2 linked regions of the Oryzias latipes genome follow. The protein of the gene in region 1 interacts with the protein of each later gene in a biochemical or structural test. Links are inferred from orthologs where the notes say so. Each region holds a gene or a part of one and is shown on either strand. Other genes may lie near its edges.

Region 1 (3,815 bases):
GCTAGTGACACATTCTGAGTTAGTGAAACCTTTTCTGAGTTAGAGAAACCTTCTCTGAGCTAGTGACACATTCTCTGAGTTAGAGAAACCTTTTCTGAGTTAGAGAAACCTTTTCTGAGTTAGTGAAACCTTCTCTGAGTTAGAGAAACCTTATCTGAGTTAGAGAAACCTTCTCTGAGTTAGTGAAACCTTCTCTGAGCTAGTGAAACTTTTTCTGAGTTAGTGAAACCTTTTCTGAGTTAGAGAAACCTTCTCTGAGTTAGTGAAACCTTCTCTGAGCTAGTGACACATTATCTGAGTTAGTGAAACCTTCTCTGAGTTAGTGGAACCTTCTCTGAGTTAGTGGAACCTTCCCTGAGTTAGTGAAACCTTCTCTGAGTTAGTGAAACCTTCCCTGAGTTAGTGAAACCTTCTCTGAGTTAGTGAAACCTTCCCTGAGTTAGTGAAACCTTCCCTGAGTTAGTGAAACCTTCCCTGAGTTAGTGACACCTTCCCTGAGTTAGTGAAACCTTCTCTGAGTTAGTGAAACCTTCCCTGAGTTAGTGAAACCTTCCCTGAGTTAGTGACACCTTCCCTGAGTTAGTGAAACCTTCTCTGAGTTAGTGAAACCTTCCTTGAGTTAGTGAAACCTTCCCTGAGTTAGTGACACCTTCTCTGAGTTAGTGAAACCTTCCCTGAGTTAGTGAAAGCTTCCCTGAGTTAGTGAAACCTTTTCTGAGTTAGTGATACTTCTCTGAGTTAGTGAAATCTTCTCTGAGTTAGTGAAACCTTCCCTGAGTTAGTGAAACCTTCCCCGAGTTAGTGAAACCTTCCCTGAGTTAGTGAAACCTTCCCTGAGTTAGTGACACCTTCTCTGAATTAGTGAAACCTTCCCTGAGTTAGTGAAACCTTCTCTGAGTTAGAGAAACCTTCTCTGAGTTAGTGAAACCTTCCCTGAGTTAGTGAAACCTTCCCTGAGTTAGTGAAACCTTCCCTGAGTTAGTGAAACCTTCCCTGAGTTAGTGAAACCTTCCCTGAGTTAGTGAAACCTTCTGTGAGCTAGTGACACATTCTCTGAGTTAATGAAATCTTCCTTTGAGTTACTGAAACCTTCTCTGAGTTAGAGACACCTTCTCTGAGTTAGAGAAACCTTCTCTGTGTTAGAGAAACCATCTCTGAGTTAGAGAAACCTTCTCTGAGTTAGAGAAACCTTCTCTGAGTTAGAGAAACCTTCTCTGAGTTAGAGAAACCTTCTCTGAGTTAGAGAAACCTTCTCTGAGTTAGAGAAACCTTCTCTGAGTTAGAGAAACCTTCTCTGAGTTAGAGACACCTTCTCTGAGTTAGAGAAACCTTTTCTGAGTTAGAGAAACCTTCTCTGAGTTAGAGAAACCTTCTCTGAGCTAGTGACACATTCTCTGAGTTAGTGAAACCTTTTCTGAGTTAGAGAAACCTTCTCTGAGCTAGTGACACATTCTCTGAGTTAGTGAAACCTTTTCTGAGTTAGAGAAACCTTTTCTGAGTTAGAGAAACCTTCTCTGAGTTAGAGAAACCTTCTCTGAGCTAGTGACACATTCTCTGAGTTAGTGAAACCTTTTCTGAGTTAGAGAAACCTTTTCTGAGTTAGAGAAACCTTTTCTGAGTTAGAGAAACCTTCTCTGAGTTAGAGAAACCTTCTCTGAGCTAGTGACACATTCTCTGAGTTAGTGAAACCTTTTCTGAGTTAGAGAAACCTTCTCTGAGCTAGTGACACATTCTCTGAGTTAGTGAAACCTTTTCTGAGTTAGAGAAACCTTTTCTGAGTTAGAGAAACCTTCTCTGAGTTAGTGAAACCTTTTCTGAGCTAGTGACACATTCTCTGAGTTAGTGAAACCTTTTCTGAGTTAGAGAAACCTTCTCTGAGTTAGTGAAACCTTCTCTGAGCTAGTGACACATTATCTGAGTTAGTGAAACCTTCTCTGAGTTAGTGAAACCTTCTCTGCAGTGCTCTCTGTATTTCTGGGTTTCCTATGATGCCAGAGTTCTGCTGTGATTGAAATGTCTGTCTGTGTTTACATGAGAGCGGAGGGTTTCTCCGCCATGAAGCCTCACGGTGCACAGCGCATCAGTAACGGCTGCATGCCCCCTGTTCTCTTTGTGCTTCATGCTTCTTTAGGAGTTTGCTGCACTAACAAAGGAGGTGAACGTGTGCCGGGAGCAGCTTCTGGAGAAAGAGGAGGAGATCGCCGAGTTGAAGGCGGAGAGGAACAACACCCGGGTGAGTGAGATGCACACCTTTTTCCTTGGATCTAGCTAGCAACAGTTGTCAAAACAAAAACTCTTTTACTGTTTAACATTGACAACAAATCTTATGGAGACAAAAAACAGTTCATGGTTTCCAAAATGTGTAGTTTGAGAGCAGGAGCGAGGCTTCACTCTGGTCCTCCCTGTCTGTGGTGTGTGCAGCTCCTGCTGGAACACCTGGAGTGCCTGGTGTCGCGTCACGAGCGCAGTCTGAGGATGACCGTGGTGAAGAGGCAGGCTCAGTCTCCTGCTGGTGTCTCCAGCGAGGTGGAGGTCCTCAAGGCTCTCAAGTCACTTTTTGAACACCACAAAGCCCTTGATGAGAAGGTGTGTTTTTGTAGGGAATGTCCAACAGCTCCTGGTAGAATACTGTGCTTGATAAGGATGAATGAAGTTAAAAAGGTTTATGTTCCACCTTTGAAGGTAAGAGAGCGTCTTCGTGTTGCTCTGGAGCGATGCAGCGCTTTGGAGGAAGAACTCGCCATTTCACACAAAGAAGTGAGTAAACACTACAAACTCTGTTTGGGGCTTAGGATGTAAACGGGGTGTTTCGGCTCCAAGTTAGAAGAAGTGCGGCTACACTGGACTTTGTTTAGTATTTATTGAAGTCTCAAGAGCTCAGAGGCTGTTTGTTCATGCATGAATCTACCTGATGTCCTTCATCCGAGGACTGTGGTACATATAGCAGGTTCCAGATGTTATCTGAGATCGCTTCAGTCAGACTTTGCAGAAATCATGTCACACCAGGTTAGTAAATGCTGTGAGGCCATTTGAGCTTTATACAAATGCGTTGAAATGAATCTCATAAAGAACTTTGTGTGATGTTTCTTTGTCCCTCATGTTTTTGATGCCTGCACCAGCCACCCTTGTGAGGGACCAAAGGCTGATTTATGTGAGGTTTAATGCCTTTTGTGAGGCAGAGGGGAAAAAAAAACAAGCACAGGAACCGCGAGAATTGCCCCTTACCCCATAACTTCTGCTAGTTGCCTCTGCTTTTAGTTTAACCCGATGAAGCAGCAGAACATGTGAGGGTTTGTACCAGGCTCCAGAAAGACCTAGAGGAGAATTTTTTTCTCTCAATAACCTTTATTGCACATTTTTCAATTTACAGAAATTCACATTCAGTTGCACAATAAAGAAACAATTGTTACTATCAAACACACATATAAGACCAAACAACAATAATAGGAATAAGCCCTTTTTGTGTGTGTCCCTGCTGGACTTACAGCAGCAACAGAATGTTTAGGGAAGAGGGTTGATATGGAGACAGCGATGTGGTGACACTGATGCTACCATGCTATCATGCAACCATGCTATCATGCTAAAATACTCAGATGCTTTATTGCTGTGTGTCGCCTACATCTGATCACGGACCGGTTTAAAGTCAGACCATATTTTCACAGAGCGAACTTTAAGACGTGGAGGATAAATGCCACAAAAAGAATTCATAGAACATTAATAAAAACTGTATTTTATAAATATAATAACAGACACTTTCTGCTGGCTCTTGTAACATTACAGAGCCCAGCGTTGAGCTGAAAAAAGACCCCCCCCTC
Region 2 (3,815 bases), on another chromosome or scaffold:
AAGAGGCAAGGAAGGGAGCAAGGGGGGGATGACAGGATGGAGGGAGGAACATGGGGAGGGTGTAGGAATGGAAGGGGGGGGCATAAACTGAATGGTGAAAAACATGCTGGAAAAAGCTCACAATCATTAAAAAACAGGGGGTTTCACACAGTAACATCAGTTCTACAGTATATTTCTCTCATTTGTATTGGGGACCTGCCTGAGCCTGATGAAGGAACGGCTCGTTTGCAGAGCGCTGCTGCTGGATGGTCTGATAGTTGAATGTTTGCTTCTGAGCTTTTGTTCTCAACACTCAGTGAAAAGTCCAAATAAAAGATGACAGACGAATGAGGCGCGTCAAAACTCAACCAAAATGTGGGACGTTGTCTGCAGCCTCTCAGCAAGAACACTGGAGGTTTCGAAAAGCTGCCCTGCAAATCAATCTCCCCCCAAAAAGGGCGCTTAACCCTTGTGCTATCTTAGATGACCCCACCCTTACGTTGACCTGTTCTCCCTACCATGACAAAGGTGGATAAAGGTGGAAAGATTTCATGTAATCCATGGACACCAGTGAAGGTCACAAATCATTGAAGAAAAAAGGTTCAGAGCACTGTCTATTGGGTCTAGATCAGTGTTTTTCAACCTTTTTTGAGCCACGGCACACTTTAACCCTGACAAAGACCCCGCGGCACACCAGCATCCAAAAAAAAAAAAAAAATAAGTCTGTATTGATCGATTCAATGTTTTGTTCACTTGTTCCACGGTCTGATACCGGATTCTGTGGAAAGCTACACCGCTAAAGACGAGCTTTGGCTGGTATTTTCCTTTAGAACGGAGAGACTTTATGAGCTAAATCGGAACAAGGAAGTGGAGACTTTAACCACTTGTGATTGGTCAGACTGATGACATGTGATTAAGCCGTCAAGAATGATTGGCGTAGACAGTCAGAGGGGCGGGACTTTGCCGCAAGCGGCTTTAGCTGCAGCTAAATCGCGGTACCGTCATTCTTATCAAAATGTCTTTAATTGAATAAAATGAACACAAAGAAAAAATAATTTTATGATCTTTTATATTCCTAACTACTCAGTGTTTTATCAGGGCCTGTTTGGATGAACACAGAGCTGAATCCTGGAGATGGGAAATGTTTTTAGATCAGTTAATGAGGGCAATTTCCCACGGCACACTTGACCATCTCTGGTCTCTGATTGAAAAACACTGGACTAGATGACCCAACTCCCAATGTTGAAGTGCCTAGGATAGCACAAGGGTTACGTGACATCTTTTCACTAATGAACAACAAAGACGTATGAAAACATCCATTTTTGAGAATCAATTTCACATCATTATTGCTTTAAAATGAACAAAAAGTGGCGTAAAATTGTTGAACCCTTGGGCTTAAAAATACGACTTTTATAACCTAAAACAAATACAAACAAACAGCTTTAAATGAAAACGGATAATCAGATCATTTGGTTTCCTGTAACTCCGTGACTCCACTGCCTCCTCGTACCTCCTTCTGGAGGCGCCGGAGCTCCTCACTCAAGTTGTTGTTGACCTTCATCAGCTGTTGCACCTTGGCTTCTGAGGAGGCCAGAGCTTTCTTCACCTCCAGGTACTCCTGCAGGGTTATGGGACCATCGGACAAGTCTGACGAGTCCATACTCTGCAAAGGACCAGAGGACGAGCGAGTGAGAGGACAGACAGGTGGACACGACAACAGGGAAGTCCATGCTGCATGAAGTTATGGGGAAACTGAGCCTCAGGCTGTGTACGAGGCAGAGGGTTAGTCCTCAGCTGGAGTCACAGGGAGATAGTAGAGCCTCAGTTCTGGCTCTCAGAGCCCCATCCTCCCCCGCTTCCTGTGTCTGAAGGACGCTCAGACTCCAGGGCCAAACCACTGAAATGTCTTTCATAGACTAGTTTTTCTAAATGGTTCAGCTCCACTGTTTACAACCCAATCACTGCAGTCTTGACTTTTTAAGGCCCTTCCAGTGAAAATGCTGTGTCTGAACAGCAAAGGATGATCCCTCAGTTAGCTTGTTTGCCTCTGAACAGAACTCTTTTCTTTTCTAACCCTCCATCTCTTCTTTTTTTCCCCCCTCGCACTCCAAATGACACAAACTCACGCTGAAGGAACAAAGCCTCTTTGAGGAGGACTCGGAATAGCTGATGATGTCAGTCAGGAGCTATGTGGCAGTCCCCGACTGTGGCCACTTCCCACAAAGCATTCTGGGAAAGGTAGTCTCTCAGGAGAACGTTACACAAAATGTATGAATGCCTCCGTTTAGCTTTTAGTTGAAGCTGCTGAAGCAGCAACATGTGAGGATTTTTAACAGGATCCAGACAGAAGTGGATGATGAAGCTGTTGGACTTACAGCATCAACAGAAAGTTGAATAAAAAGTGTTGATTCTGGGACAGCGGTGACGTTAAAACACTGATGCTACCATGCTGAATCCTGTCATGCTATGCTAATCAGCTGCTCTGTTTGTCGCCTACATTTAACCACATTTGAAGTCAGACTATCTTTTCAGGAGGGAAAGGGAACTTTCCGGGGAGGGAGGGAACTTTAAGACGCGGCGGATAAATGTAACTACGGTAAATGATTTCTAAGAACATTTATAAAAACTGTGTATGAAACAAGGTTATAATAGTTTCAAATTTTTTATTAGTTTTAGTTTTTATTTCGTTTTGAATTTTTGTTTTTAAATTTATTTAGTTTTAATTAGTTTTTAGAGGCAGCTTTACTAGTTTTTATTTTTTGAAATTGCTTCGTTTTAGTTTAGTTTGTATTAGTTTTAGTGTTAGTTTTAGTTTTTTCCTTTTTTTTTTGTAAATTAGGATATTTGTCAGGTGCATGATTCAAAATCACCAGAGTAAGTATTTTATAATAAAAACTCAATCAAAGATACATTTTGAAACATTTATTATTCAGAGGACTCAAGGACAACCATCCTTAAATGAAAATACAACAGCCGATGACAGCATTACGTTACCTGCTCTCGCTTCTTTTTCGGGGGAGGGCGGGCGACAGGCTAGCTTGTCTAGGTACTGTTGATTTGCGTTTTAGTGTGCGCTTTTTAAATGTACTTTTAGATTCGTAGGGTTTTTCCCTTTGAGGAGCGTTCCACAAACTTTGTCTCCTGCTTCGACTACAAGGCACTTACTTTTGTTTTCGACGCTGTTATATTCAAAACAGTCCCAAATAGGACTCTCCCGCTTTCTCCCAACTTTTAATGCAGCCATCACGCTCATGTAAATGTCTATGACCACGCTAGCCGGCAGTGTCTGACAGACATCATGTGACGTCACAGACAACGTGATGCCGTAAGGTTCAGAAGATACACAGTAAAACTAGCAGCGTGAAGTAAATAGATTTTATTTCAACCCAAAAGACTTATGTATTAACAAAGACGAAAACGAAGGATTTTTTGGGGTTAATATTAGTTAGTTTCAGTTCGTTTTATTCACACAAACAGTTTTAGTTAGTTTTCGTTTTTTTTTAAAACTCTCGTTTTTATTTTTATTTCAGTTAACGAAAATGTTTTTTCAGTTCTAGTTTGAGTTTTTTCGTTCGTTTTCGTTAACTATCATAACCTTGGTATGAACTTTTCCCCTCATGACAGCGCTGCGTCTTTACTGTCAATGACATCACAAAGCACCAGCTCCTTTGTTCTGCCAACACGTTTACAGCTTGTATTTAGCAGAATTTTGTATCTTTCATCCAATTTCCAAAGGAAATGTTCAACTGAAAATAGTTTGGTTAAAAAGATTCTGTCATTTGGGATTTTTGTTAAAGAAAATAAAAAGGAGGGAGAAAAAACCCCGGATTAAACTC

Evidence for each region.
Region 2: the proteins of liprin-alpha-1 (region 1) and git1 form a complex in vitro, tested with the Homo sapiens proteins (2 studies listed by BioGRID). The link is inferred for Oryzias latipes from reciprocal best matches to the Homo sapiens genes PPFIA1 and GIT1.

Annotation. Positions count from the first base shown.
Region 1 is NC_019861.2:2,121,349-2,125,163, forward strand, and holds part of liprin-alpha-1, read left to right. Parts: intron 1-2,131; coding exon 2,132-2,233; intron 2,234-2,421; coding exon 2,422-2,586; intron 2,587-2,682; coding exon 2,683-2,757; intron 2,758-3,815. UniProt on the Homo sapiens protein: May regulate the disassembly of focal adhesions. May localize receptor-like tyrosine phosphatases type 2A at specific sites on the plasma membrane, possibly regulating their interaction with the extracellular environment and their association with substrates.
Region 2 is NC_019871.2:27,394,058-27,397,872, forward strand, and holds part of git1 (ARF GTPase-activating protein GIT1), read right to left. Parts: intron 1,643-3,815; coding exon 1,490-1,642; intron 1-1,489. UniProt on the Homo sapiens protein: GTPase-activating protein for ADP ribosylation factor family members, including ARF1.